3 linked regions of the Struthio camelus genome follow. The protein of the gene in region 3 purifies or fractionates together with the protein of the main gene of each other region. This does not show direct contact. Links are inferred from orthologs where the notes say so. Each region holds a gene or a part of one and is shown on either strand. Other genes may lie near its edges.

Region 1 (8,082 bases), on a different chromosome or scaffold from region 3:
AGCTGATCCAGATTTTTCACATCTATCAGAAATTTGCAATCCTTATTGAAAAAAAGTATTTTTAGACAAAAGTTTAATTTTCTCATTCTCAGCAGATACGTTCTACAGAAAATTTGTAGGTAAGAGCTGATTTTCCATTTCACCATGATTTATAATGGTAATTCTTCCACTATGCCTACTGCTGAAGAAAAACATTAAATTATTTCCTTGCAAGATTAGCTTGAGACTTAGATTCTCTCCATATTTTAACAGGGTTGCTACAGCAGTAAAACTCTCCCAGTGGCGCACACAACTTCAAAATCCTTCCAGGTCCATGAGAGTCATACCACTGTGTCCCCAAGAAATTAGAATAGAAAGACTGTCAGAAATCATCCCCCAGTCAACATGACTGTACAAAGTGTCTAGCTTAGGCTGAGGCACCATACCACCTAATATCTTCAAGAACCAGACACTGAGGTCTGGGAGATCTGCAAGAGGCAGGAAGGAGAATGGTATACTGCCAAGTCATCTTCACCTGGGACAGGTTAGCATGGGAAGACCACTGGGTCTTTACACAGCTGAGTCAAGTACAAACCCAACAGAACCAGAAGGTGAAGTTCATCCCATTGTGTACCCAAGCTAACTCCATGCTGCTGCACTGGATTTACTTTCATGTAAATCTGTCCTTTGAAGGTGCAGCCTCCTGGTGGAGCTTCCTATTTGGTAATACAGCTCTCCTCACTCCTAATTCATGGCTGCACCTTCACGTCTGTTTTAAGTTCTCTGATTGCAACTGCTGCCCACCTCTGTGGTGTCTGTGTTGGTGCTGCTAAGACTCCAGCAGAGACAAACTATGTGGTTATCAAAAGTAGCTTGCTTGATGTGGGAGAACAGTGCAGCAGAGCAAAACCCCATTTACACTGGTATATCATTAGGAAAAGGTGTGGGACATTAATTATGTCTGCAGTCCAAAAGTGGAAACATGGGTAGCTCTAGAAATTTTCCTAAGAAATGTGTTTTTGACAGGCAGCATGGAGTTACTGCAGGGAGTTCCTGTTTCAGCACATTCAGCTCAACCAGGAAATATTTCTGGGCAGCTCAGCTGTCTTGCAGCAATGAGAGCTGAACAGGCGCTAGCCTTCTCTCCTCAGTATTAGTGACATGGTGTGTTGACGATGTCAGTGAGCATTTGCGCTTACACAGATAACACCGTCTAATGTATCGCTTCATCAGAAATGCTGCTGCCGCCATCGGATGTTCAGCTGCTTAATGTGTTTCCTTAGGAACTAAGTGTAGGCAGTCATGCTAAATTCCCACCTCTGAGCTGTAAAAGAAAATACTATCCATCCACTCAAGATCTAAGGTTTGTATTAATCTATGACAAAAACTCTTTCCTGTTCATTTCCTGTTGAGCAACAGACTAAATATCCTGACTCAAAGGCTGAAAAGAATGCAAACTATTACTCGGCATGGGGAAGTACAAAGAAGACAAAAGGTGAAATTCACCCCTGTGCTGAAGGTCAGGAGAAGACCCACGTAAGCAGACTGTCTCTGAGTCAGAATGATTCAATCAGCAAAGTAAACAGCAAATTCCTCAAAGGAGAAAAAAAAAAAGAAAAAGCTGTTCTGTTTCCTGATTAACCAAGTTATCCAGTTATCTACATGAGATGTAGTCATGCATTCTGTGCTTCCAGCAAAGTACTTCTTCCTACCCTACCAACACACAAAACTGCTGCAGACGCAATGTACAGTTGACAAGATCACTGATGTGTGAATTCATGCACTGATTATGAAACTAGAAGTCAAGCATTCCTGCTCTGTACTCTTGCTCAAGAACTGCTGTCTATGACCTTGCAAATTTTCTATTTTTTTGATGACAACAATGGTTTTGTAAAAACAGGGCTGCAATATTTAGTCATCTGTCAGAGGAACTGAGTGAATTAAAACCTGAATGTAATTGCTCCTGTATTACCTGGTATCTAAAAAGTTCTCCCAGCATGAGTTGGAGACGCTGTGATCAAAACTGGCTAAGTATACAAAAATAAGAAAAGTTGTTTATAGATAACATACCAAAACTGCTATATTGGCATTCACAGATACATATATTTATCCTTAGCAGTTGTCAGAAAAATGCAAAAATGACTTCCACAGCATGATTTTATCCAGGAGACTGGCTCTAAACTCATTGGCATTCTGCCACATTGTTCATGTCATTGCTGGAAATCAGCTGTTTTTTTGCTCCAAATGACATGAATAATTTTGCTTTTCCTGTATATTGCTTCTTCTCAACCCAGGCTTTCTTATAGAAAGCTCATAACACAATTGGAATTACTCTCTCAGCTGGCCCACAGTGAATCTTGCCACCAGAAAGACTATTGGCTTAATTCCAATGTTGTCTCTCTTGCCTACAATAAACTCCAAAGGAAAATCACGCTCCTTTCTAAAGGTGACGGAAACAAACATCTGAGAATGCTTCTGATACATGATAGTTAAAACGAATCATAAAGGCCAATCTTACATACTCCTACCCAGCCATAAAAGAATCTCTAACACTGTGCGTGAAAGCAGCCTGGCTCAGGAGAAGAAAGACTCTTCGGCTCGACAGCATTAAAGACTCAGATTTAAGCAGGTAATGATGTTTTTTGCTTCCAGCAGAAGGAAGCTGGACTATCCTCTGGAAGGTAGAGTGCACCAAAAAAAAAAAGTTCTGTTACAGAAAGGTTAGCTACTGAACATGTGTGTTTTCCACATAAGCACCCAATATATTAAATATGAAGGGAATATTCCGTAAGCAGGTACATAAATTCACACATATAATAACGTAAGACGTGGATTAGAACAGACAACATAGACATTAGCGTAGACATGACAGATTAGTAAATGGTACAAAGATTGGTTAATGTCTCGAAGATTAAGAGTCAGGAATTATAGCCAGAGCAGCAGGGCAGAAGTTTCATGACCATGAAAACATTGATGCTCTCTACAGCCAAGAAAAGCTGTGGCAGCTTCTTTGCCTGGGAGCAAAGCACTAGCACTATGGCAAGGACATAGCTTATTCGTCTTTTAAACTCTCAGCCTTTCCTGTGTATGAAGTAATGAAAGAGTATTGGTTTGCAAATTTATTTTTATATGGGAATTGATTCCACCGTGTTTTGACCTGCAACACTTGCAGATAACACTAGAAGGAAAGTTCGTTAGCAGAAGTCTCCCGTGTGGTGCCGCAGTCATCAGCCAAGTCAAACACTGCCACCTCGTGGACATATATCTGTATAGACACACAGCTATAACAAGAGATGTGAGTAAATATATTCCTGAGCTGAAAACAGTCCTCAACGCTGTCAAACTTCGAGAACAAAACGTTAACGTCTGGAAAAGACCGCCTTCGACTCCAGCGTAGTCATTTTCACACCCTCACAAGTGTGTACGTGTAACTTACACGCACACAGCCAGGATCGCTAAGCTGTGACAGATTTGTGCTCGGCTGGGAGAGGAGGTGTTACTCTTGCGGTACAATTTGCAAGGCGAAAGAAGGTTTCTGCCGGTTTGAGGGGAAAAGGCTCACCAGTACAAGGGAGACATGGAGCTACTGGAGAGAGTCCAGCAGAGGGCTATGAAGATGATGAGGGGACTGGAGCATCTCTCCTATGAGGAAAGGCTGAGAGAGCTGGGCCTGTTTAGTCTGGAGAAGAGAAGACTGAGGGGGGATCTTATCAGTATGTACAAGTATCTGAAGGGAGAGTGTCAAGAGGATGGGGCCAGACTCTTCTCCATGGTGCCCAGTGAGAGGACAAGAGGCAACGGGCACAAAGTGAAACACAGGCAGTTCCATTTGAACATGAGGAAAAACTTCTTTCCAGTGAGGGTAACTGAGCACTGGAGCAGGTTGCCCAGAGAAGTTGTGGAGTCTCCTTCCTTGGAGATATTCAGAAGCCATCTGAACGTGATCCTGGGCAATGTGCTCTAGGTGACCCTGCTTGAGCAGGGGGGTTGGACTAGATGATCTCCAGAGGTCCCTTCCAACCTCGACCATTCTGTGATTCTGTGAAAAGAGCACGGAATCAACCGCTCGGGGCCTGCGGGGCTCTCGGGCACGAGGTAACCAAAGCAGAGAGGGAGGGGAAGGCCTCCACTCAGCTCATGGGGTCCTGAGGCAGCTGGCACGGAGGCGGGAGGCGGCTCCCGCCGGCCCTGACAGCCCGCCCGCCGCCCGGCTCCCGCAACGGCCGCCCCGGCCCGACTCCGCCCCGCTCCCCCAACGGCCGCCCCGGCCCCGCCCCCTCCCGGCGCCGAACGGCGAGAAGCGCAGCACAAAATCGTCGCCGGCAGCTACGGTGCCGCTGGCGGGACCGACCATTGGTTGGAAGACGGCCGAGCTGCGCCAGCTCGGCCAATGAGGGAGGCCCGTGGCAGCCCCCAGCCAATGGGCAGCGCCGCTTTTCTCTTGGCGCGCAGGGGTGCCGCATCCTATGGAAACTGCGGCGCCGCGGGGTGAGAGGTCGGAGGGCAGGGCGCCGCCCCGGAAGCGAAAGCCGGAGCGGGCCTGCCTTCCCGTGGCTCCCGGTCTGCGGCGGGCGCACGTGCGGCCCGGCAGCAGCTTCTCTGCGGCCTGCGCGTCCCCCTCGGTCGCTGCCTCGCCATGGTGAGGGCGGCGCGCGCTCGGGCCGGGCCGCGCTCGGGCCGGGCCGCGCCGCACCGCGGGGGAGGGGGCCGGGCGGGCAGCGGGCGCAGCGGCCGTTATTAACGGTCTCGAGGCGGCGGGGCGGCGGCCGTTATTAACGGTCTCGAGGCAGCGGGGCGGGGCGGGCGGGCGGGGATCGGGCACGCTGACCGGGCCGCTCTCGCCGGCAGAGCCTGCCCCTGAACCCCAAGCCCTTCCTGAACGGGCTGACGGGGAAGCCGGTGATGGTGAAGCTCAAGTGGGGGATGGAGTACAAGGGCTACCTCGTCTCCGTCGACGGTTACATGAACATGCAGGTGAGGCGGCGGTCGGCGGGGCGCGTCGCCGGGGCACGCTGAGGTCTTTCGGGCTGGGGCAGCCCTGTGCTCGACTCGGAGCACCCGCTGCTTGGGGGAGGTGGGGGGACGGGCACTTTTAAAGGATCTGTAGTGTCTCTGCTGCGGGCTCGACCGGAGCCGGGTGAGAGCTGCGCATGGCCTCCTGCGATCAAGGTGGCCAGACAGCAGCCGGTGGGCAAAACGTGGTGCTTTCTGTGAGGTTTTCTATTACGATCACTTTAACGCTTGCTGGTTTCCTTCTTAAGCTTGCAAACACAGAAGAGTATATAGATGGCGCCTTGTCTGGACACCTTGGTGAAGTTTTGATAAGGTAAGGTAATTGGGGCTCTTATGGTGGAGGCAGAGTCTTTCTAAATTTTTTCACATCAGTTGTGCTAAAACTTGTAATGCTAGGTGCTGTGTTTCCTGTGTAAGTATATACCAAAATAAGCATTAATGTAATTCCTGGGCAAAGACTACAAACTCTTTTATGCTGAGATTCCTCCTGAAGAGAGGAAAACTGAATTTTGAAGTACTCGTAAATAAATATTTATGATGCCTCTCTTAAGTAATTGAATGCCTTAGTTTTCCCGAGTATTGTAGATTATTAATCCCTTAGCGTTGGTAGAGTAAAATTTTACATGCTTGCATATTAAGCTTGACCATAATTGTTAATCCAAAAGTAAAATTGTCTTGTACAGCATTGTTAATCAGTTAATACTTTAAAAAAACTTATTTTTTGCAGTTATAATGAATTTTGTGGAAAAGCTGTGCAAGGTCAACAGCAACAATTTACTATGCAGAATTTTGCTGTTGCTGGGCTACTGTCGTACAGGAAAATGCCTAAAATGATGTATATGTGAGGAAAATTAAAACCTATATTTACAGCTAAGGGAATTTTTTGATTCTGTTTACAGGTGCAATAATGTTTTGTACATCAGAGGTGTGGAAGAAGAAGAAGAAGATGGAGAAATGAGGGAATAGGTGTTTTGTATATCTGGAAATAAACTTTTTTCTTTTTTATTTTCCACAACTTTGTAATAAGGTGTTTACTTCTCGTTCTCTGTATTTTAATATGGAGGAAGCTAATGCTTAAATCACTTGTAATCTCTAAATGGCATCTGGAAAAACTAATGCTGGAGGAAGAAGAAATTGTTGCAGTTTGAAACTGAGAAACTCAGAGTGAAAAGTGAGTATTAAAAGTATTGTCATACATTGAGACTGGTAATACTTAAAAGCTTTGGGTTTCGGTTGTTTTGTTTTTTAAGGCGATCATTTGAATTTAAGTGATTCCCAGAGCTGAATTAAATCTTCCAAGCTGTGTACTCTGGGAGAAAATATATGGCTCATTCTTTTATCAGCTCCATTTAGTATCAGTACTTGGCTGTCAGGTAGCCATAATGCAGTGCAGGCTAGCATATAATGGAAGATAAAGAACTCCCCGTCTTGTGTACGTGGCTTGTTCTGCTGCTCTAAGCTGAATGGATGAGTAGAGTGAAGGAGCTTGCAGGAACAGCCTTTTCTCTCTCTAATGGTGATGATGCAGGCTGTAGAATGAGCAGTGGCACAAACCTTTTAAAAACATCTTGATGTGCCTGCTGCAGAGTACTGGTGCTTTCCTAATGATTCCTTTTGCTCTCAACTGGTTGATTAAGAAGACAGCCATAATGCTGTGTTAACCCTGTTTTCAGTAGGAAGTAAGTTTCACCTCTAAGTGAAAAACTCTGAGTCATCTTCAGTATTTGCAGGGACTTCATCTTTAACTACCTTCTTTGCTTTAACGGCTGGAGGCTGTGAACGAAATACCAGTCGTCTTCCCGTCTGAAACACAGGAAAATACAGCAGTGTATATACTTTACGGTATGTACATAGTTGCTATTAGAATACACTTCATCTTTAAATGTGTTTACAAACTATTTGGAAGTAGTTGCAAAGACCCCACAGTAGATGAAATACAGAGATCCACTATAGTGCAGTGTCTCTAAGAAACGCTCTGCTTCTCTGAGTAATGAAGCAAGCCTGAAGTATGGTTGTAGAATCATTATTAAGGAAAGATGCAATCGTACTGACTTTGTAGCTAATATCCACACAAAGAGGAGACTGTTAGCTCCCATAAATGTCACAGAATCACAGAATGGCCAAGGTTGGAAGGGACCTCTGGAGATCATCTAGTCCCCTGCGCAAGCAGGGTCATCTAGAGCATGTTGCACGGGATCATGTCCAGGTGGGTTTTGAATATCTCCCGAGGATGAAGACTCCACACCCTCTCTGGGCAACCTTTTAGTGCTCTGTCACCCTCACAGTAAGTAAAGAAGTTTTTTCTCAGGTTTAGGTGGAACTTCCTGTGTTTCAGTTTGTGCCCGTCGCCTCTTGTCCTATTGCTGGGCACCACGGAGAAGAGTCTGGCCCCATCCTCTTGGCAGCCTCCCTTCAGATACTTGTACCCGTTGGTGAGATCCCTTCTCAGTCTTCTCTTCAGGCTAAACAGGCACAGCTCTCTCAGCCTTTCTTCAGAGGAGAGATGCTCCAGGCCCCTCATCATCTTTGTAGCCCTCTGCTGGACTCACTGCAATAGCTAGCTCCATGTCTCTCTTGGACTGGGGAGCCCAGAATGGGACACAGTACTCCAGATGCGGCCTCCCCAGGGCTGAGGAGAGGGGCAGGATCACCTCCCTCCACCTGCTGGCAACACTCTGCCTAATGCACCCCAGGACACCACTGGCCTTCTTGGCCACAAGGGCACATTGCTGGCTCATGCTTAACTTGTCTACCAGGAAACCCAGGTCCTTCTCTGCAGAGCTGCTTTCCAGCACGTCAACCCCCAGCCTGTCCTGGTGCATGGGGTTATTCTTCCCCAGGTGCAGGACCCTGCACTTGCCTTTGTTGAACTTCATGGGGTTCCTCTCCACCCAGCTCTCTGGCCTGTCCAGGTCCCTCAGAATGGCAGCACAGCCTTCTGGTGTGTCAGCCACTCCTCCTAGTTTAGTATCATCAGTAAACTTGCTGAGGGTGCCCTCTGTCCCTTCATCCAGATCATCGATGAACAGGTTAAACAATACTGGACTAAGTATTGACCCCTAGGGGACACTGCCAGTTACAAGCCTCCAT
Region 2 (9,326 bases), on a different chromosome or scaffold from region 3:
ATAGAACAAACTTCTACTACTATTGTAATGGTAAGTGCACAGTCCATATCCCCAATAGGTGGTGCTGCACCTTTTTCATAGGGTTTAATTGTTGTAATATTGGACCCCATCACCTAGGAAGGTGAGTACTTCTCGAGTGAAATGAAGTCAGGAATCTAGTAATAATATATATTTTTTTAATATAAATAAGTAAGTGTTACATTTCATTTGGTAAATGAAATAAAGTATGTCTTTTTAGCTTAGCGGTTAGTACAGTCACCTAGGTATAGGGAGACAATATTAGGTTTTGGTCCCTCTACTGCAGATTATTATTTTACTGATCACTCTTTTCATCACAAGTAAACAGTCCCTGGAGAAGAGACCCTCCGAGTCTATCTACCATGTGAAAACATTAGATGATAGAGTCACGGTCGTTTTCTCTTTTGTTCTGATCTCATTCATTTTATATTATTATTATGCAAAGCAGGATAGAGAATATGTGAGAAATCTAATACATTACATCTAATACAATATAAGTTAGAATCTCCTCAGAGTCACAAATCAAATCTACATGATCTTTCTCCAAGTAAAAATTCTTACCGTTTAACATTGTTAACAATGTCTAACAGACGTTCACAAAATGTGGTTTTAAAATTAATTCAGTTTCAAAAGGGGAGGGTTGTTACTTAGTGAAATCAATGCACATTTTCTCACCAGAAGAGAAGCCATATATTTGCCACTAGACTATTTGTATGTGAAATATTTATCCCAGATGATTGCCGCTGCTGATATAAGTCATTTTTAAAAGCTGTTCATAAATACCATTTTCTCTTCCAAAATGACTAAAAGCTGCTTGTTTTTTCCAAAAACAATGATTCCTTCTTTGGCAGATATCAGTTCTGGGAAATTTCAACTTTAAATCCAGCAGTTATGGTAGGGTATTGTGGCCAACAGTCAGTCAAATCTTTCTTTAAAGAAAAACATTTTTGAATGTTTCAGCAATTCTTCTTAAACTACTGCGTAATTGTTAATATAGTGCATGAGGAGCATGTATATAGGAATGCTTTTATAGAGTTTTCAAACCACATTGGCCTCAGTCTTCTCAAAAACTGGTGTCTTTTTTGGCGAAGTTGCCTGGTAAGGTGTAATTAGTTTTCAGTGCGCTCTGGAACATCAATTGTCAGGTAAAATGATTAAGAGAAAGCTTTAGAAGTAAAACAAGTTAGCAGGCCCAAAATGAGCGTGTGCCCTGTAACTGCAAGAGGAGGGTAGACAAGAGCTGTAACTCTCCTCTTTCCTCGACACACAGAAAAGTTGCTGAAAGTGCAGAGTAGCATGAAAACAGCCTAAAGGAAGAACAGAACTTGTCTACATGAGAAAACAGTAGTTAAATAAAACTATTTAACTGATTTACTATTTAACTGATTGTGCAAGTCCGCAGTCATGTATACACAGTGATAATGCCCTTTTGCTTATAAAGTTCTAAATCCACAAAAATCAGCTCTAAATCAATATGAGTATATTGCAATCTAGGAAGTTCCAGGTATTAATTGCTGTTTTCAGCATCTATATTTTCCAGGTAATTTCTGAAATCAATTGCAGAGCGTCCTCTGGAGCCCAAGAGAAGTGTGGGCTATGTGTTTACCATCTTGTGAAACCTCCTGCTGTATATCACCTATCTTCTACTGCTTGTTAGCTTGTGCTGTCTTCAAACCGCTAGCAGGTACAATCATGAGCAGATATTTTTCTTCTCTTTTGCAGCCGTGTGCGGTGTCAGATGAAGTTCCATGTGGGTATATCCCTTCAGCGTGTAAGCTTCACTGACCATTGCTTTCACGCCAGCATTTCACGAGCCAAATGGTGTAGAAAGGTGGGACAGGAAGATCTGCGTTTCTAGAACTACAGGATGGGGAGAGGGCCTTTTTCCTGGAAGTCTGTACTGAGCTCATGCCACACATCTACCAACATGAGCAGGTATTTCTTCACGTGGAAAAATATAATGCAGTAGTTGTTGCTCCTGTCCTTTCTATCCGTGTTGCGGGCCCCAAAGGTGTGAATGTTATGATGGAGGTTAGCTCAAGTGCTACTGGTTGAGGCGACCAAATTAGGCAAGCCTAGATTACTGATGTTTTTGCGAATGTAAGTTGTGTTGTTTTTCTGAGGAGACCCATGCATCTGTTATTTGTGGGTTTTTTTCCTCCCCCTAGGAATTGCCGTTGGAGTCATAATTGGGAAGGACTATTTTACTGCAGTATGCAGTGATGGTCCTGGAGGTCCGTTGACCAAATCCTCTTAACCTGAAATATAGCCCTCATAACCTAAATCTGTGCACTTTGTGTGGTTAAAATTTTTACAATATGAAAGCTGATTCTCCCAAAATACGACTTAAGAGTACAAACTTATAAATGAAAAGTTTATGTTATCATACTTGAAGTAGGTCAGCTTTAATAAAATTTTGGAGTGCTAATGCATCTGATTGTCTAATGCGTGAGGTGTGCTAATGGTGGTGGTATATATGTTACTGCCACATCACATCAGATGCCAGGCTAAAAAGTCACTAATTTTGAAATGCTGTGGTTACTTGTGATGATGGCTTATTTTCATCTTGCATTCTGTGAATAGCAAACATAAACCATGTAATTTATCTTGCTAAAACAATAAATAAACTGCTGATATGATAAAAGCTATACTAGCTCCCCTCCTTCTAGTCTCTCACATGAAACTTTTGAACACGTGCGTGTAGTGGTAAGTGCTAAGGGAGGACCACAGCTACTTAGCTGAGCCGCTGCTGAGGTGAGGCAGTAAATTTAGGCTTAATGTGTGAGATCAGGTGATGGCTACTGGATGCTAACTTCTCCATGATCATCACTTTCAATAGACCATTTTCGAGAGACCAGTGTATTTTCATGCTCTCTTGTCCTTAAATGCAGAAGATCTAACAGGCATCGTACGATGCATGTTAAACTTCCTAATCAGAAAGAACAGAAGAGATTGATTTAAATATAATATCAAAACCTTCGATGCTGATACAGGGGCTGCATGAGTTCCCACTGTCACCTCAGCATTTAGTACCGTCTAATAGAGCAGAAGCGCAGAGTTGCCTCAGATGACTCTCTTTTGGCTCGTTGTTTTTTTGGATTTTGTTCTGCTTCCAGCCTCTGGAAAGACTATTTAGCATAAACAAGGAATTAATGGTGTTTATGCAAAAAATCTACCCAAATCCTCAGAGGGGACAACAGCAATCCCTTTGACAGCTCCCTTGGCTGTCTTCAAAGTCTATCTTTACAATTTTGCTACAGTATGTCTCTTTACCGATTTTGACTCATGATTTTGTCCTTTATTTGTTTGCAGTTACCAGTAAATTTTAACTTTCTGGCAACTAGAGGAGCCTGGAGAATAATCCTTCCCCTGGAAAGTCTAGTGGTGACAACGGTTTTAGGTACAGTACGCTTGAAATGAAAGCTGAGCTCAGAGTAGAGACTTTTGAATATCTATCAGTATGACCCAAAGGGAAGAGTGGATGTATAGCTGACGTAACTCTGGCATAGTGGGATGCTTCTGTAGAGCTTCAGATGTAAACTGGTGAAGGAGGATGCTGGCTTGACTGACAACGCAAGCAGTACGTTCACCTTGTGCTTTAGCACAAGTAGTATTTACTGAAGGAATTCAGTTGACTTTGAAAGGGCTTTACTGTCCTGGGATGCTTCCTTTCAGGCTTTTTTAAGAGGTTTCATCTAAATGAGAGGAGTAGAGCAGGTACGTGAAACTATAGATCAGCGTTGCTATATTCTAACTCTGTAACTAACACTTTCTGGTGGCAGCGAGTGGCATCAGCTTGCCTTTTGCATCCATAACAGGCTTTAAGAATTTTATTCCTACTTTCTCCTCCTGAAAGGAAGAAGTACCAATGAGGTGATTTCAAAAGGATGACGACTCTTGAAGGAATCATCATCATCACTGCTATCTCTGGGTCTCCGTGCATCATACTGACCAATACTGTCTCTTTCACATTATAGAAATTACTGGTTGGTATTCTCCTGTATTAAATTTATGACCAGAGATTATCTTGTAAAATACGCTAGGTACTAGACCACAGCTGGGTTTCATAAGTACGACAAGAAGTGGATGCAGCATGGAGGTGTGAGATCCACGAGGTGAGCGATCCGAGGTTTTTCAGAGCAGCGTTGCCCTTGTTGCGTGAGGCTGTGGGGAGGAAGAACTGAAGGAACTAAACCCCGTTTTCAAGTAAACAGGGCATTCACAGGCAGTACAGATAACACTGACGCCGCTCCATCATCCCTGTCACGTGGCGTAGCTAGGCAGGCCGCCTTAAAGTAGCGGAGAGGGAGCTAGAGGAACTTAGTGTTTTATTTACCAAGCTCTGGTAGAAAGAGGGGTCTCCAGCAGCCCTGGCTGCAGCACACACTTTGTTTTAGCCTGACTGATGACGATACACCTGCCCGAAGGCCTCGGTTCTTCCCGGTGGGTGACTCCAGGGCCTAGAAAGACCCGTTCGTGCTGGGTTAGCCACACTGGCAAAGACTGTAAAAAGAGCGGAGGGCTCTGAGGGCGCGTGAGCTGTTCGGCGCCAGCTGATGAAATCCGTGGAGGGGAAGGGAAGAAGACGAGGAGGCGGCGGGAGAGAAAGGGGGCGAGCGCCGAGCGGCCGGGGCTGGCGCCGCGGGCGGCGGGAGGGAGCCGGCGGCGGCGGGCGGGGCGCCCCTGCCCCGTGACCCCCGCGGCTCCTCCCTTCTCCCCACCCACCGCCCCGCTCCTCGGTGCCGCCGAGTAACCTGGTTTCCCGGCGTCGGCCCGGCCCTTCTCCTCCCTCTTTTTTCCCACTCCCCCTCCTTCCTCCTCCCCCTTCGCCGACAGCGTAGCCGGGGCTCGGGCTCTCTCGCTCCCTCCTCCCCTTTCCCTCCCCTCGAGCTGCCGCCGCGGTAGGGAAGCCGGAGAGAGGCGCCGCCTCCGCCGCCGTACACGGAGACATGTACCCGGGAGCCACCTCCGCCGGACCCGGTGAGGTTTGGGCCGCTTCGGTTTCCCTTTCCCTCACCTCCCGCCCCGCCGACTTTCGCAGTCGCTTCGCGGCGTGTTGTGGAGGGGTTGGGTGCGGGGGTGGGGGGGGGGGAAGGTTTGAACTCGGGCTCCGTGTGCGGCGTTGGGGGGGGGAGGGGGGAAGGCGGAGGAGGGGTGTGTGTGTGGGGGGGGGAGGTGGGTGACCGTTGGCGCACGCGGCGGTCTGTCAGCGCGAGGCGCCGCACGCGCCCCCTCTGCCCCCCCCCCCCCAACCGTCGCCGCCGCGAGGCGCCAACGGCCGCCGGCGAGACGTTGGGGGGGGGGGGGAAGATCCGCGCGGCCGCCCTCCCCCCCCCCCCATCCGCCCCCACCTCAGTGCCCTCCCGGCCCGGGCCTGCTCGCTCGTAGCCTCCGTCCGAGGCCGCGCTGGCGGGGGAAGGAGGGGTCAGGCCGCCGCCGCCGCCACCACCTCGGGGAGGGAGGCGAGTGAGCCTGCGTGTCCTGAGGCCCCTTCGAGGGGAGGGTCGCCGTGTGTTCTGCCCTCCTCTCCCCTTCCTTCCTCCCTCCCTCCCTCCCGCGGCGGCGAGCCCCGAGGCAGCGGGGAGGGGCGAGAGGAAGGGGCTGCCCCGCTCCCCCTTGCCGGGGCCCGGCTCTGTGGTGGCCGCTGGGGCAGCGCCAAGCGGCGGGTCACCCTCGGCCGCCTCGTCCCCCCTCTATGCGCTTACGTGCCGCCTTGCCCCGGCCGTTGGTGCCAGCTCGGCCTCCTGCTGGCAGCGCGGCGCGGACGGGGGCGGCGGAGGTGGTTGGAGAAGGGGGGGGGTGCGGGGGGGGTCTCCATTTCCTCCCTCGCAGCGGCCGGGGGTGCCGCGGCCGCCTTTGCCCGGCGGCGTGTCTGCAGCCGCGGCCTGGCTGTTGGGGTGCGGGCGGGGGCTGCGTCCCGCTGTCCCATAGGGATCCGGTGAGGTTCTCGCCTTCAGTCGCCCTTCAGACTTCGGTGGATTTTTGTGAGCGAAGGGGGAGGAGGACGCGGGCAGCAGAAGCGCTAGCAACTTGCTCGGGGACGCTAGTGTTGTTCAAGGGGAAGGATAAGTTAGTATTGTGAGAGCTTGTGTCGTTAGCGTGTAGTTAGCCTAACGCTCGAAAAGAAAACAACTCTCCTAATGTAGAAACTATTATTTTTACCTTGTTTTTTTTTTTTCCAGAAAAAGTTTAAAAGTGAAACTTCCTGTATTTTATATTACTGTTCTTCATAGGTTTGTGTAAAATCTTTTTCCCGTGAAGGGAAGATCTAGTAAGGAAAAGTGCAGAACAATATAGGACCTGTAGCTCGGACCCTTCTACTGTTTCTCTCTTGCAAATGCTGCCACAGTAGCAGCATTCACCTTAGGATCTACAGTTAGGTGCTGGCTTCCTCTTCCCCCCCCCCCCCCCCCCCCCTTTTCTGTCTGATACTATTACCCTGAAGGAAAGAGAATCGAGAAAGGACCGGGACGATAGCTGTCCTTTTAGGAAAACCAGAAGAGCTATATTCTTCCTTGCTTTTCTTCCTGTAGTTCATGAAGGCTTTTACTATACACAGCAGGAAGACAGACCGCTGTAGCCGCGTGCATCCAGACTGATGACGTTCAATACTTTGGTTTTAAGTATTGGGCTGTCTTCAAGTTTCAGTACCAATAGCTGTGCATAAATACTTACTTTATCATTTGCTTGGCTTCTAGTGTCAGGTTCTCTTGTTCACTTTCAGTGTGCAGATAATCTTGGTGCTTAAATTGTGCTGCTGTTAAGGCTGTTACGTTCACCCCTTATTGTTACATCTTTTGCAAAATTGTATATAAGGGTTCTTCACCTATCTGGAGGTGGGGTTTTTTTGTTTTGTTTTTTAAAGGAACCAAATCATTGAAAAAATTGCCAGTATATGGACTGAGAGCAGGTTTACATGTGGGAGCAGTCTATCTTCTTCCGTTTGCTCTTTATCTGATCCTAACAGTGTCCCTTCTACACAGAATGATCTTACTTCCACAACACTGGCACAGGTGGTTGCTGTTTACTGCCAGATCCAGTGCGTATGTGTATTTTTCCCCTTATCAGAACAACCCTCTCTGAGCCCCAGAGAGCAAACACCATACCTTTACTGAGCTGCTATTTCTCTGCAAGCACTGCTGTCCGGTGCCGCAGGCTTCTGCTATTCCGCTCCCTTCAACTAAGCTCGTCTTCTGTCTCGTTTACTTCCCAGTTTATCTTGGGCTCAGCTTTTTTTCCCTCTGCAGAGCCAGGCAGGGACAGCGTCTGGTCTAGAGCACGAGCTGCAAGTTGTTGTCCGCATCGTTTCCTTCCTGTGCAGTCATCCACAGAGAGCCTTACCAGGGCAGTGGCTTTTAGCAATCCGAAAAAGCTTCCCGTTCTGCATCAAATCATACGGCAGGACCTTTGATTAGAGTTTTTAAAGAGGGAAGAGCTGTATTGTGAACCAGTCTGGAAACGGAGACTGTCAGCAGGGTGCTTGGTTTTGTCCTGTAGGCTAAACGTGGCCTGTGCACTGCTAGTGAAAGTCCCCTTCCACGTGTTAATCTGATACGTATCAAGCGAGCGTATGCTGAGATCCTCTTCAGAGGAATGAGCGAGCAGGAGTGTGGTTCGCAGACGTTCAGTAAGGCACAGCTGCTGTAAGTGCAGGAGAGCTCCAGCCTCTACATGTCTGTCACCACATCCTTGACGCAGCTTAAATGCTCCATTCATATCTCTTGTAACTTGGGTCTGGCCGCTGTTTGGTGGTTCGTTGAACGATGTTGCAGCATACGAGCTACTTTACTCTTCCTGCTCCCGTCACCAAACTGGACACCACAGCCATCCCTGTTCTGAGGGTGTTTGTGGTGTTGGCCCTCTGCCAATGTAATCACTCAATTTGCCACAGGGTTTGCTATTTTAATCTTCATTCTTTTTCTGGAAACAGTATAAAGCAAGTTAGGAGGCTGCATCTGACTAATTTAAAAAAATTGCAGCTAAACCTGGAAACTTTGTTCTAACATGCTGTTACATTGGGAGTAAAATATTTTTATACAAGAGAGTAAGATGTTTGTGTACAGATCACGTTTTTATGATTAGAAAAGCTATGATCTCCATTCCTTTTTCCCAAAATATTGTTCAGCTTTGAGACTTTACACTGGTGCTCCTTCTCCTTCAAGAGACTATAGAAAGACTACAGTTTTGAAAGTATGAAACTTTTTTTTTTTTTTTTTTAATTAATATAGATACTTTTTAGGATGTGTTTTCCTAGAAGGACAGGAAGATATCAAGGAGGTATAATAAAAATACTGTTGTTAGATCAGTTGAGTTTGAGGAAGTGATTGAAACTTGCACAAACTTCTGAAACTTGCACTGCTTAGTATTCACATATTTATAAATTCTAAACTTTGCATGCTATAGGTTGTCTCTTTCTTTATTTGAAAGAATATTTGTTTTTGTTCACTATCTGAGGTTTTAATTTGTTGTTGAAGGAGCACTTACTTGGAAAAAAGGTGACTTCAAAAAAAAAAGGGGGTTGTTGCTTTACGTATAAAATAAACTTTTTTTTTTTCCTGGTATGAAAAACAAGTTTGAGTTTTCTGTAGCAGGCTGTTGGCACCTGCCTCAGTAACACCAAGAACTCCCTTGTATCAAGGGTCTCCTCATCACCTGCCCAATCTTTTACTTCTTAGAAAGCCTCTTAATATTATTTTTAGGTTGAAACTGGGCCTGTTTGTATTGTGCTGTCCTGCTGGTATCACATGTTTGCACAGGTTTTTGGGGCTTAATTTTAGACAGTAAATTATGTTGAAATTCATTATAAGCTGCCATATGTAAAAGAGGAAATGATAATTTAATATACAGCGCGCTCAATTTTTTTTTTTGCATGAGACTTTTTTTTTTTTTTTTTAGACTTAAATCACATTTGACAGCCTACAATGTACAAAACGCAGGTAACTTTTTTAAAATATTGTTGTCATGGCCAGTATATTTTCCTAAGAAAGGAAAAGATTCCATATTATTGTTTCCACTAGCTGCATGGTCTTAGGTGGCTTAAAATGAGGGAGTTATTTGGTGAAAGGATGACTGATGTTACACATACGAACCAAAGCTTTCTCCTTTTCTTAGTGAACCAAAGATTCACTATGTGAAAAGTGAAAATTTTCAGCAGTGACTCTGACGTACTGACTATGCAGTAATGCAGGATTTTTGTGCGTTTATTTTTCCGTCAACTTGAAGTTTTTCCTTTTTGCAGAAATATCAGACACTCATATATTCAACTGTGTTTTGTAATGTGTGTAGAAGGGAGTGCAGAGGTCATGTGG
Region 3 (10,618 bases):
CAGCAGCTGGATGCTGAGTTCCTCTCTCTACCCACAGGCATGCACTGAAGTTCTTCATGTTCTATCGCTTTGTACAACTGTGGCAGGTACACATTCACAGCAGAGGTCATCAGCACTGTGTACAAATGACCTGACTGTACTAAGCTCAGGGTAGCTACCTTCAGCCGAGAAGGTGTATGTCAGTTCACTGTAGACTTCTCTGAAGCATTGACTTAGCAGCAGAAAACAACCAACACCACCACAGAGCTGCATTCACAGGACAGAGCATACCTGGTAAGGGAAGAAGCCGAAGATTACATTTCTGTGCAATTTGCATCATCATGTTTTCCTCCTGTCCACGGCAGCAGTATGTCACAGATAAGCCTAAAGTTCCTACGATACACAACAGAAAGTATAATTACCTAACCAGACCCAGGGAAGCTAGCTCAAGCTTGATAAATCCACATGACACTATTTTACCAAAGCGTCCAGCTCTGCCAATACGATGCATGTATGTTTCCCAGTCCACAGGCACATCCAGATTGATGACCAGATTCACTTTTTCAGCATCAATTCCACGAGATGTCTTGGAAAAAGGAGTTAAGTAAATATACAGAACAGATCTTTAAAAGATACCACAGCACATTTGGGAGTTAACTGCTTGTACAGTAACCTCTATTCATCACAATACATTGCAGATAAAGCATCTACAATTGTCCAATCAGCTTATGGTATTAACATGTAGAACAAGCATATCACACTGGGGCCATGCAACACCAGGATCATTTTGCTTATCCCTTCTGTATAGGCAACACGAGCAAGTGTATTTCTTCAACATCAAAAACTCAACCCCACAGCATGACAGAACCTTAAGCTAGCAATTAAAGACAAGAACCACTGACCACAAAAAAGCTGCAGAAATCTCAGACAAGAAACATAACCACTGCTCTCCCTAAAGCTGTTTGAGGTGTTACTGTTTTGAGCTTACTATACTAAAACATACTCCTTCTCACAGTGTCTACTCAAAGTAAGCACCTCCACTCTGCTGAAACTGTGATTTTTGAAACAGATGAGAAAAAGGGTACAACTTCTCAATCTCGCAGTGAAAACAAGTCGCATTGAGTGCTCTTCAGTCACATACTTTATCAGTATGTTTAAGATCCATTCAATTCCAAGTCAAGTTTAACACCCTGAAACAATATATATGCAATTCTTGCATATGTTATAAAATACTAACTCACCAAGTCTGTGGAAATAAGAACTCTACAATGGAATTGCTTTAATTTAGCCATAGCATCAAGTCGTTGATTTTGATTCATGCCACCTAGACAGACAAAAATTTATACTTAGAAACTGAAATAAACATTAGAAACAGATTATCTTCTTCAGTTTCTTGCTCCTCAAATTCTGGAAAACACTGCTTTGTAAAGCATAGATGAGATTAGAGATAAAGTTGAGAGAAACTTCCCCAAACGTTAGTTGTAAATGAGTTAGCAAGAAGCAAACAAAATAAACTTGAAAATAAGGAAATCCATTACAAAAATTCCTACTTTTTTTACATATATACTTGACTCACTTGAATAACATTGACTTTAGAAAAGTTTTACTTGAACAAAAGCACATGTAGCCATGAAAACCACTGTGGAAGGAGAAATTCAAAGGAAGGCTTCTAACAACCGTAAGAGCTAGCTATCAGCCGTTAATAGAGAAGTTGGGGGGGGGGATTTAAATGCAACAACAGCTTTCCAAACAGACACTGCTTGAAGATGCAAGTGTAATAAACTTTCTCTTTAAAAATAAATCAATGCACTTGTCTAGATATTCATATAATGACTGTCAGCAACAGATTAAAAAGTAGAAAAGCTGATCAATGGAAAAATTAGATTAATAACATGCAAGTCTTTAAAGACCTGTGAAGATTCAAATACTATTCTTTGCTATCCAAACAGAAGTCTTACAAACCAAGCTTTTAAGCTGAATATTCCCATTTTAGATCAGATGTATGCACAAACTTCAGCCTAGAGAATCACAAAGTTCTGAACAGACTTACCTGAAATGCACTCAGCAGGAAAGCCTTTGGATGTCAGTATCTCAGCTAGATGTTGAGCCCTAACAGGACATACACAATGAAAACTAAATAAAACTACATGCTTAGCAGTACCAAGACAGTGCTAGGCATAACAGTCAATGTGTCCTTTTTAACAACATGCTGTTCTTTACAGGCAAGGATTACATTCCAAAATTGTCAGTCTCATCTTATGTCCAAACTAGTCAGTCACCTTACAGATTTTGCATCTGTCAGACCAGACTGGGAAAGTACGACAGGATATTAGTTCTCACTGCAGTCTAAACAACGTATGAGGTAACTTCATGCCAAAACATTCCTTTCTTTTCAATACTTCACACTGCTATATTTTACATGTTGTGACTGTATTTCAGATCTGAAATTTGCATTTGGCTTCAGCTGTGTTTTGAGACCTTTATAAAAGATGCTACATGACTGCATATTATAGCCACTGTTTTCAAGCATAGTTTTCTTCAGATTTCATTTCAGATTTATTACCTGCTATGCAAATTTGAGAAGACTAAGGCTTGATTAAATGGAATCTTGCTGAAGAGCTCCTGTAAGTGCTGGACTTTTTCCTCAAATGTCTTATGAGGAAGTGGATGGGAATTGACGATTTTGTAATACTGCTTCAGCCCTGGGCAAGGGGGAAAAAAAAAAGGCCATCAGATTAATGGCTTCAGTAAAAACATGCAATGTGCTATATTGTTGTCAACTTAAATGTAATTGCAGCTAGAAGAAAGACTAAGTTAGAACAAAAACACAGGTACCAAATAAGAACCTACAGGACAATTTTTCTTAAAAGAATGGAACATTTTTGAAGTATAGGAAAACCAAAAAAGTAACTTTATCACTGGTGTTTTAAATACAGCAATATTGCGAATAAACACTTAGTGAACTAACCAACTTATCTATAAAGGGAAATGATAAGGCACTGCAAGTGTTAAGGCATATATTTTGGTTTTATTATACTCCTAATAATCTATTTCATATAAATGTAAATGAGTTTCTTACACTTACCAACGAGACTTGGCTCAGTAGGGTTCAACCTCACAAATGTTGGCTCTCTCATATACCTGGTCAAAGCACTAGCTAATGATTCAGGATAAGTGGCTGAAACAGCCAGCATCTGCTTATTGGCCGGCAGCGAAGAGTAAATCCAACTACAAGAGAAGGACATTTACAAGAAAGACTCATAAATATGCATCTAATCTGCTAAGTGTGGGGGATAAACATTTTTCTTACTTAATTTGTTCCTGAAAGCTGCCTTCTTCTAGAAGCTTGTCTGCTTCATCAAGAATGAAGAGCCGGATACTGGCTGTATTTAAGTAATCCAACTCTATGAGTTGTTTTATCCGACCTACAAAAGATAAAAAAGTAATCTAGGCTTCACAAATATTAACTGAATGATTCTAATCAGGAGACTTATAATATTTAATTTTTTTAATATTAATTTCAATAAATTCTTTTTAAAAGGTTTATTTAAAATAATGTCTCAATAAAAACATTTGGCCTAATTTTTTTTTTAGCAGTGGCCTTTGAGATTGGCCCCATTAGTTAAAAAAAAAAATCAAGATTTCAAAAGCACCAATTATTGTAGTGTGAAAAGTGCGTCAGACTGTATCTGAAGTACACTGAAGCATGTCCATACCTGGAGAGCCAACAGCTATGTGGCATTTCCTTAGCCTTATTTTGTCCTGGTTCAAAGGAGTTCCTCCAATGAAGACATGGCACTCCAAACCTTCCATTTTTATTCCGATGGCTGTGACGACAGCATGAATCTGCACAGCAATCTCTCTTGTCGGAGCCAAGATCAGAATCTTTAAGGGACAAAGAATTAGCCTTGAAAGCAGCAGAATGGTTTAGAAGACAGAAGTACAGCAACCAGTCTTGACGCTACCAGCTTCATGATTTCAAACACCACGTTCTATATAAAAACCTACTAAGAGTTCAAACTCGTTCCTAACTACTAAACTCACACAGCAGCGGTAAAAACTGAAGTAACTTTTTACCACAGCACATGTCACTCATGAGGCAAACTAAAGGATGGCACGTTACAGTAGGGGTGGAAGCAGGAGTTTCACAGATGCGAACGCGCCATCTTCCAAGGCCACCTCAGCGGTTCCCGCTCCCGAGGTGGAGGGAAGGCCCGACCCCGGCAAGGGCCCCGGGGCCGGGGCTCACCTGCGTCGCGGGGTTCTCCAGCAGCAGGGCGTCCAGAGCGATGGCGGAGAACACGCAGGTTTTGCCGGTGCCGGACTTGGCCTGCACGATGAGATCTGGAAGAAAGCGGCCCGAGGGGGTCAGCAGCGCCGCCCCAACGCCCCCTCTCCCCCCCGCTGCCGGCTCGACGCCCCGGCCCGGCCCCGGCCCCTCACCCAGGCCGCAGCGCCCCAGCGGGATGGCCTTCAGCTGGACCGGCGAGGGCCTGTGGAAGCCAGCCGCCTCCAGCCCCGCCAGCACCGGCGCCGACAGCAGCAAGGAGCCGAAGTCGCTGGGGCCCCCGGGCACCAGGACGTCGCGCGTGCGGAACCGGCCCTCAGGAGGCGGAGGCGAGCCCGCGGGCGCCGCCATCTTGCGAGGCGGGACGGCGAAGAGGCAGCGCGGCCCCAGACGCGCCTTTACGCGCCGCCCGGGCCTGCGCACGCGCCGCGGGGGGAGAGGGGCGGGGCCGCCGGGCGCCAGGGGGCGGCGCGGATTGGCCGCCGGGGCCCGTTTGAGGGCGGGGCCGTTAACGGTCGCGGCGCGCCGCGCGCCCCCTCACGGAGCGCGGCCCGGGCCTGGCGGCGGTGCGGGGAGCGCGGAGGCTCCGCCGTGGGGCCCCGCAGCCTCCCGTGCCCACGGCTGCCAGGCCCGGGCCGGTTAGCGGTACCCGCCGCGGCCCCGTGGCAGAGCGGGGGCGGCCGCCCCCTCGGAGCACCCAGGCAGTGCACGCTGCCGCCGGCGAGGTTTTTGGCGTAAAAAACCCTCCAGAATTAAAATTCTACGAACTGCAAAAACAAATACAAAAAAAAAAATCGTTCTCCGTGTGGCCACGTGACAGAAATGATTGATTACACAATTTAGCCATGTGGCGTGATCCCTCGGGGCAAAAGCTGCGTTTGCTTTGCTCCGTCTGAAATCGCAGGCTCTTCATTACTATCCAAAGCAAGGCAATAAATAATGCGCTCGGCCTGGCGTACAGTTTATTTCAGGCTGATAGGCGCTTTACCAAAAATTTGACTCTTGTGATTGATGTGGTGGAAAAGGATATTGCCTTCTTAAAGACGAGTGGGTGGGATTTAGATCTTAGAACAGTCCCTGTAGGAAAACTCGAAATGCCCCGAGTTACCTGCCACAGCAGATGTTCCCCTCGGCTGGCAGGTACGTCAAATGGGACCTGGAACAATCTGTATGCAGTTTTAAATGACTTACCTTGAATTTTCAGTAGAGTAAACCACAGATGAATTTCTGGTTTACCAAAATCAGCAGAAAACGATCCCACTGATTTTGACTGAATTTCACATTCCAAGCGCGAATACTAATTCTCACCATGGCTCTATCTGTGCAGCATGTTTGTATCCTGTTTTTCTAAGGCCATTCTCCACTAACTTTTTCTTATCTAGTACCACTGCTTGCTCTCAGTAGGGATATCTCTTTCCTTCTTTTTTAAGACTTCAGAATCCACTCCTTATTCCTTAACGTCGTTGCTCCCTCCTCTGCCTCAGCTTCCCTATATGATGCTGCACGCTGTCATCTTTTCCTCCAGCAGCATTTTCTTCCTCATTTTTTCCCCCATTCTGTCTACAAGTGATCTTAGTATCTGATTCTGTCTACAAGTGATCTTTAGAAAAATTGTTTCTTGCTTATAGGTGAAGCTATGAGATAACCTTCAAACCCTTCTAACACCACTGCATTTCAGAGTTATCCTAACACGCAATATGAAGCTTCGTGGTCTGTACAATATTTGAAATAGACTTTGTGCAGTAAAATCTTACTGACTGGTGTATTTTCACATATTCCCATAACACAGGTAACCCACCCATCTCTGACTCTGATGAACATGCCATTCCACAGGTAGCTGGTCACCGACACAGCATATCTAGTTGAGTTTTTCCTAAACCTCGTAGTTCAGTCATAATAAGGAATAAGGTACCTTAAAACAGATGGAAACAGATACACGCTCCAAGAGAGGACAAGGTGCTTGCAAACGAGTTATCTGTAAAAGATCAGGATAGGGGACAGATTATGCCTCCCTGCCAGTCTACGGCAGGTTTGATGCGTTTAGTCCAGAAGCAGACTGTCTGCTTTGGGGGCTAATAATTACAACAAATCTTTGCAGCTAGCTTCCTGTTTTCATTTTGTTTTGTTTTGTTTTCTCCATTGACATTAGCATTTCCTGTTTACTGCAATAATTAGGGCTGTGACTCCCCGCTGTGTATCTCGTAGGTGCATTTAGCCACATAGAGGCAATTAATGATTATGTCTAGGAAAAAGTGATGCTTTAGATGGAGACAGATAAACCTATTCAGCTAAGCAACCTTTCATCCACTCCTGAGATCATTTGTCTTAGGAACAGCACAACAGCTTAACCTTACAAATATTACAGAGGATGAAACCTCTATAATACCTGAGCAGACACACTACAGTGAGATCTGGAGGCCTTGCTGCAAGACCAGTGCAGGAGCTTTAATTAGCCAATGAGTCTGAACCATAGAGAGAAAACGTGGCCCAAGGCATGTAGGAGGATGAACTGAGCACAGGGCGGAGTGAAAGAAGGCACCAGGCCAGAAATGGGAGGAGGAGGACACACGAGAATAGTCAGAAGAGAGGAGTGAGCATAGAGCGAGAGGGAGTCATAAGAGGAAATGAAGGCAGATGGGTCAGCAAAGGAATGATGTAGAAGGCTGCGTAAGAGGATGAGAAGTACAAAACTGATCGCAGTGCCAAAACAGCTTCAGCAAGCTTCTTGACAGGAGGTGCCCTGAGTATCCATAGCTGTATTAGTTGGGGGAGAAAGCAGTCACCAGTAATCTCTAAGCTATCCTACTGTAAGAAAATGGCACGAACATTGTGTTCTGACCCCTCTAGTTTCAGCCTTTGTTCTACCACCCTGACAACAGAAATGAGTTTCTTGTTAAACACTCTAAGTCTGGGATGCAGTTATATTGTGTACAAAAACAAGATCTAAAAGTCAAAGTGCTAGGAAAAATTAATAGTACAGCATTAACTTCAGCAAAGGCCAAATCTATTAATCTCTTGTATATGCATTACTTACTACCTTCTGTAGACTGCTTATTTTAAATTGTGTGTGGTTTCATTATACATATCAGTTTTTATTGTCATAGCCCTTCAGAGGATCTGGACATGCAGCTCCCATTCGTTGTAAGGGGATGTGAAAAATCTCAACAGTGGCTTCCAGTGTATGAGTACATACACTGGTTCATTATTCCTACATTGCCAGGCAGCCTAAATGAATTTTAAAGGCTCTTAGCGTAGTACACTCTCTGCGACTCCTTTGCAATTCCATCATATTACTGATGGGGAAAAAAAGTCTGTTTTTTTTTAATGATCTTTTTACATGAATATTTGAGTACCAACCAAGACTGGGGCCCCATTGTGTCAAGCACAATACAAAAAAGAATATACAGTTTCTGCTTTGGAGAGCTTATCTCTACGAGGTCAGGACAAACCAGATGGTAGGGAGGAGAACTCTGCCACAGAGCAGAGGTAACAGGATAGCTATTCACAAGCATTCTGTTAGTTCCAATTATTTTTCAATTTTTAGGTGGATATTCCCAGTTGGTCCTAAAGGGGAAACAAGTCTCTAACATGAGAGAATTGTCTCCGGATAAATCTGGGAATGGAGACAGACAAGGAGACCTGGACATAACAAATGGTTTGATTAGAGACAGCCTCTCATAACCCTTTTAAATTGATCTGATTTGAACAGACAATGAAGAGCAGTGGGAAGTATCTGCACCCTACCTGGGGGAAGGACAGGGAAGAAGTGATAAAGCAACTGCAGCAGGCATGGATATAGCAGCAAGGATAGCAGGCATGTTGTAATGCAACTCAGGTGATTTGGTTACAGAAGTCATCGTTCTCTGAGATGCATTGTTAATAGGACATTGAGATGCACTACCTTAATTCCAAAGATGCTGCTGTTTATTTAATTTTCTCAATCTCCGTCAGATGCAGGAGGGAGAGGTTCCAAACCATCTCAATGTCTATGCTGAGTAGCACTATGACACCACGACTGGCAGATTTATTGTTCCTCTCCCTTTGTTTTTGGCCCTCACTGGTTGTGCTGTGTCAAATTGAGGACATGCTCCTCATGCATGAGGGGGACATGCAGTCCCCCTCATTCCCCGCAATGTGCATACAGCCTGTAGCTCAAAGTTGGCAGATAGGCTCTTTTGCATGATTTCTCAAGTAAATCTGTGGACAGTTGCTAATTCACATTAATAAGCCCTCCCAGCCATTTCATGTGGTCTACTGTGTTCCGCAGCACCTGATGTTTCACATAAGCTCCAGCTCCAGAAGCGTCTGCAGGTCATGCGTACCTGCTCAGGTACAAAAACGAGCTTAACTCTGCCTCTATACCATGCCAGGAGCCCTGGTAGATGATGATGTTATCGAGGCATGACTCAGGATGAGACTAGACTGTCTGTGTCTGATAGACCAGATGCTCAGATCCTAAAAGCTTTCCCTCTTGAGCTATCTCAGTTCATCTAACGAAAGGTTTTGCTTCTCCCTTAAACCTTACACCTGTAGAAGATTATGACTCTACTGCTACTAACTTTGTTTTAAAATCTCTGAATATATATATTCTGCCATGAGTCAAAGGAGTGCCTTTGCCTCTGGGTTTCAGATCCAGAAAATACACACGGTGTCTCACAGTAAAATGCGAGTTATCAGGTGCATTTTGATTTAATCAAATAGTTTTGTAGAACAAATAACTCACAGTCAAAACTACAGAGTGGTGCAAACTGAGATACTTCCAGTCTCTCTGTACAACCATGCAAATGTGCTAAGGGCTCACTATCTGACCTCTGAGGCCCCAGCTCAGTTTGCTGCCCTGTACTCGTACATCGCACAAAGCTCCATGCAAGAGGGCACTGCCTGTGTGCAGCAGCTGGCAGGATTATTGCCTGGTTCGCGAGTCACAGCATGTGCACCGTGACAGTCTTTTGCTGCATTTGAAATGGAGACAAATGCTAATTCCCAGGAACTTGCTCTTCTTCCTGCAGGGAAGACGACTGCTTTCTGTCCCAATTCTATCAGAAACTTTGCTCTCTAGATGAGGGGGCCTGAAAGGTTCCAAAAATCATAAAGAGTTTCTCCCATCCTGGGCACAGACAGGTAGATATAGACAGAGTGCATCATAAGGAGGTTTTCCATTCCTCTTTCAGGAGAAATTCTGGCAATGTTTGGGTGCAGAATGATGCTACTGCACTATACAGAAATGATATACACAGTTAAAAGAGCAATGTGTAATGTAGTTGTTGAAGGGGGAAAAAGTGTGGGCTTCACTCCAGATAAATAAATAACAGCCCTTTATAATCTTAGATAAGTTTTTATACCAAGATTTGCTAAATTATTTTCAGTTAGTATAAACAGGATCTAGGTCACCAAAATGCAGCCAACTGAGAGGTAATACAACAGTTCTTTAACACCATATAGCACAGTGAATGACGTAAGGTGTTTTCTTCTCCTAGTACAGGGAATATTCTTACCCAGTGCAAGAGCCAGAGGAATGTCATGGGTTGGAATCTGGCTGGAGCAAAGTTAAGTTTTACTCTGAGGAGGGGTGAGTGAGGTAAGGGCATAATAGGATCTTTAAAGACCACAAACGCAAACAGTGCACGCAACGAGCAGCCTATTGGAATAAATGGTCAAATTCCGAGCGGTAGTTTACCTCCTCATGCACAAATGAAAAGAATAGAATTACATTTTTGACATTATATTCTTACCTATCTCTTGGCTGGTTGTTTGTGCCTCAGTGGACTTAAACAAAGATGGATGCAATTCAGGTCACGCCACAGCCTCAGTGGGAAGCAATTCTGAAAAGTTTACCTTCAGTGTGCAAGCAAGTAAAAAATGAAAGAAAATTCAGAAATATCCGTGGATGTTGGTTCAACAAAGAACAGTCAAGTGAAAGCACTGCGAAACAAGATCAATGAACTGAAAGACAACAAATGAGATAAAGAAACCCATCAGCTGTACAGGGACGGATGTTTTCTGAAATAGGAAGGAATGAGGCATTTTACGTAAGCTGAATACACCGCTCTGAAGGCATATTCTATTTTTTGCCCAAAGGTCTCAGTTTTTCTTTTTATGTTGAAATAAGCCATGTAGGTTTCTGCTTAAGGGAGTTCTATTCTCAACTCTTTTTTTTCCTCAGAGACCTGATTTTCCATTGCACTGCGCCATCTGCTCATCATTTACACCGCTGCAGAGGGAGTATAAAGTAGAAGGGAGTGGAGGGCCTGGCATGAAGTGTCACTGTTGCTTTGAACCAGTTGTCTAAGCAGAAGAGAAAAATGTTGCTTAATGGGGAAAGTCTACTGAGAAAAAAATTCAGATTTTTCT

Evidence for each region. Proteins that work in one complex are often made in the same cells at the same time.
Region 1: the proteins of DDX20 (region 3) and SNRPF purify together in Homo sapiens (affinity purification with mass spectrometry; 5 studies listed by BioGRID and IntAct, counting the BioPlex papers as one, with this or other methods). This does not show direct contact. The link is inferred for Struthio camelus from reciprocal best matches to the Homo sapiens genes DDX20 and SNRPF.
Region 2: the proteins of DDX20 (region 3) and AGO2 purify together in Homo sapiens (affinity purification with western blotting; 3 studies listed by BioGRID). This does not show direct contact. The link is inferred for Struthio camelus from reciprocal best matches to the Homo sapiens genes DDX20 and AGO2.

What each region holds. Positions count from the first base shown.
Region 1 is NC_090942.1:52,290,956-52,299,037, forward strand, and holds SNRPF (small nuclear ribonucleoprotein F), read left to right. Parts: upstream 1-4,315; 5' UTR 4,316-4,615; coding exon 4,616-4,618; intron 4,619-4,827; coding exon 4,828-4,953; intron 4,954-5,240; coding exon 5,241-5,305; intron 5,306-5,891; coding exon 5,892-5,958; 3' UTR 5,959-6,007; downstream 6,008-8,082. Other genes in the region: CCDC38 (coiled-coil domain-containing protein 38), read right to left, coding at 6,685-6,795. UniProt on the Homo sapiens protein: Plays a role in pre-mRNA splicing as a core component of the spliceosomal U1, U2, U4 and U5 small nuclear ribonucleoproteins (snRNPs), the building blocks of the spliceosome.
Region 2 is NC_090943.1:168,309,236-168,318,561, reverse strand, and holds the start of AGO2 (protein argonaute-2), read left to right. Parts: upstream 1-4,751; 5' UTR 4,752-4,967; coding exon 4,968-4,998; intron 4,999-9,326.
Region 3 is NC_090965.1:9,048,231-9,058,848, reverse strand, and holds the start of DDX20 (probable ATP-dependent RNA helicase DDX20), read right to left. Parts: upstream 4,699-10,618; 5' UTR 4,619-4,698; coding exon 4,423-4,618; intron 4,324-4,422; coding exon 4,229-4,323; intron 3,865-4,228; coding exon 3,696-3,864; intron 3,405-3,695; coding exon 3,290-3,404; intron 3,208-3,289; coding exon 3,065-3,207; intron 2,682-3,064; coding exon 2,543-2,681; intron 2,089-2,542; coding exon 2,030-2,088; intron 1,304-2,029; coding exon 1,221-1,303; intron 566-1,220; coding exon 460-565; intron 373-459; coding exon 271-372; intron 1-270.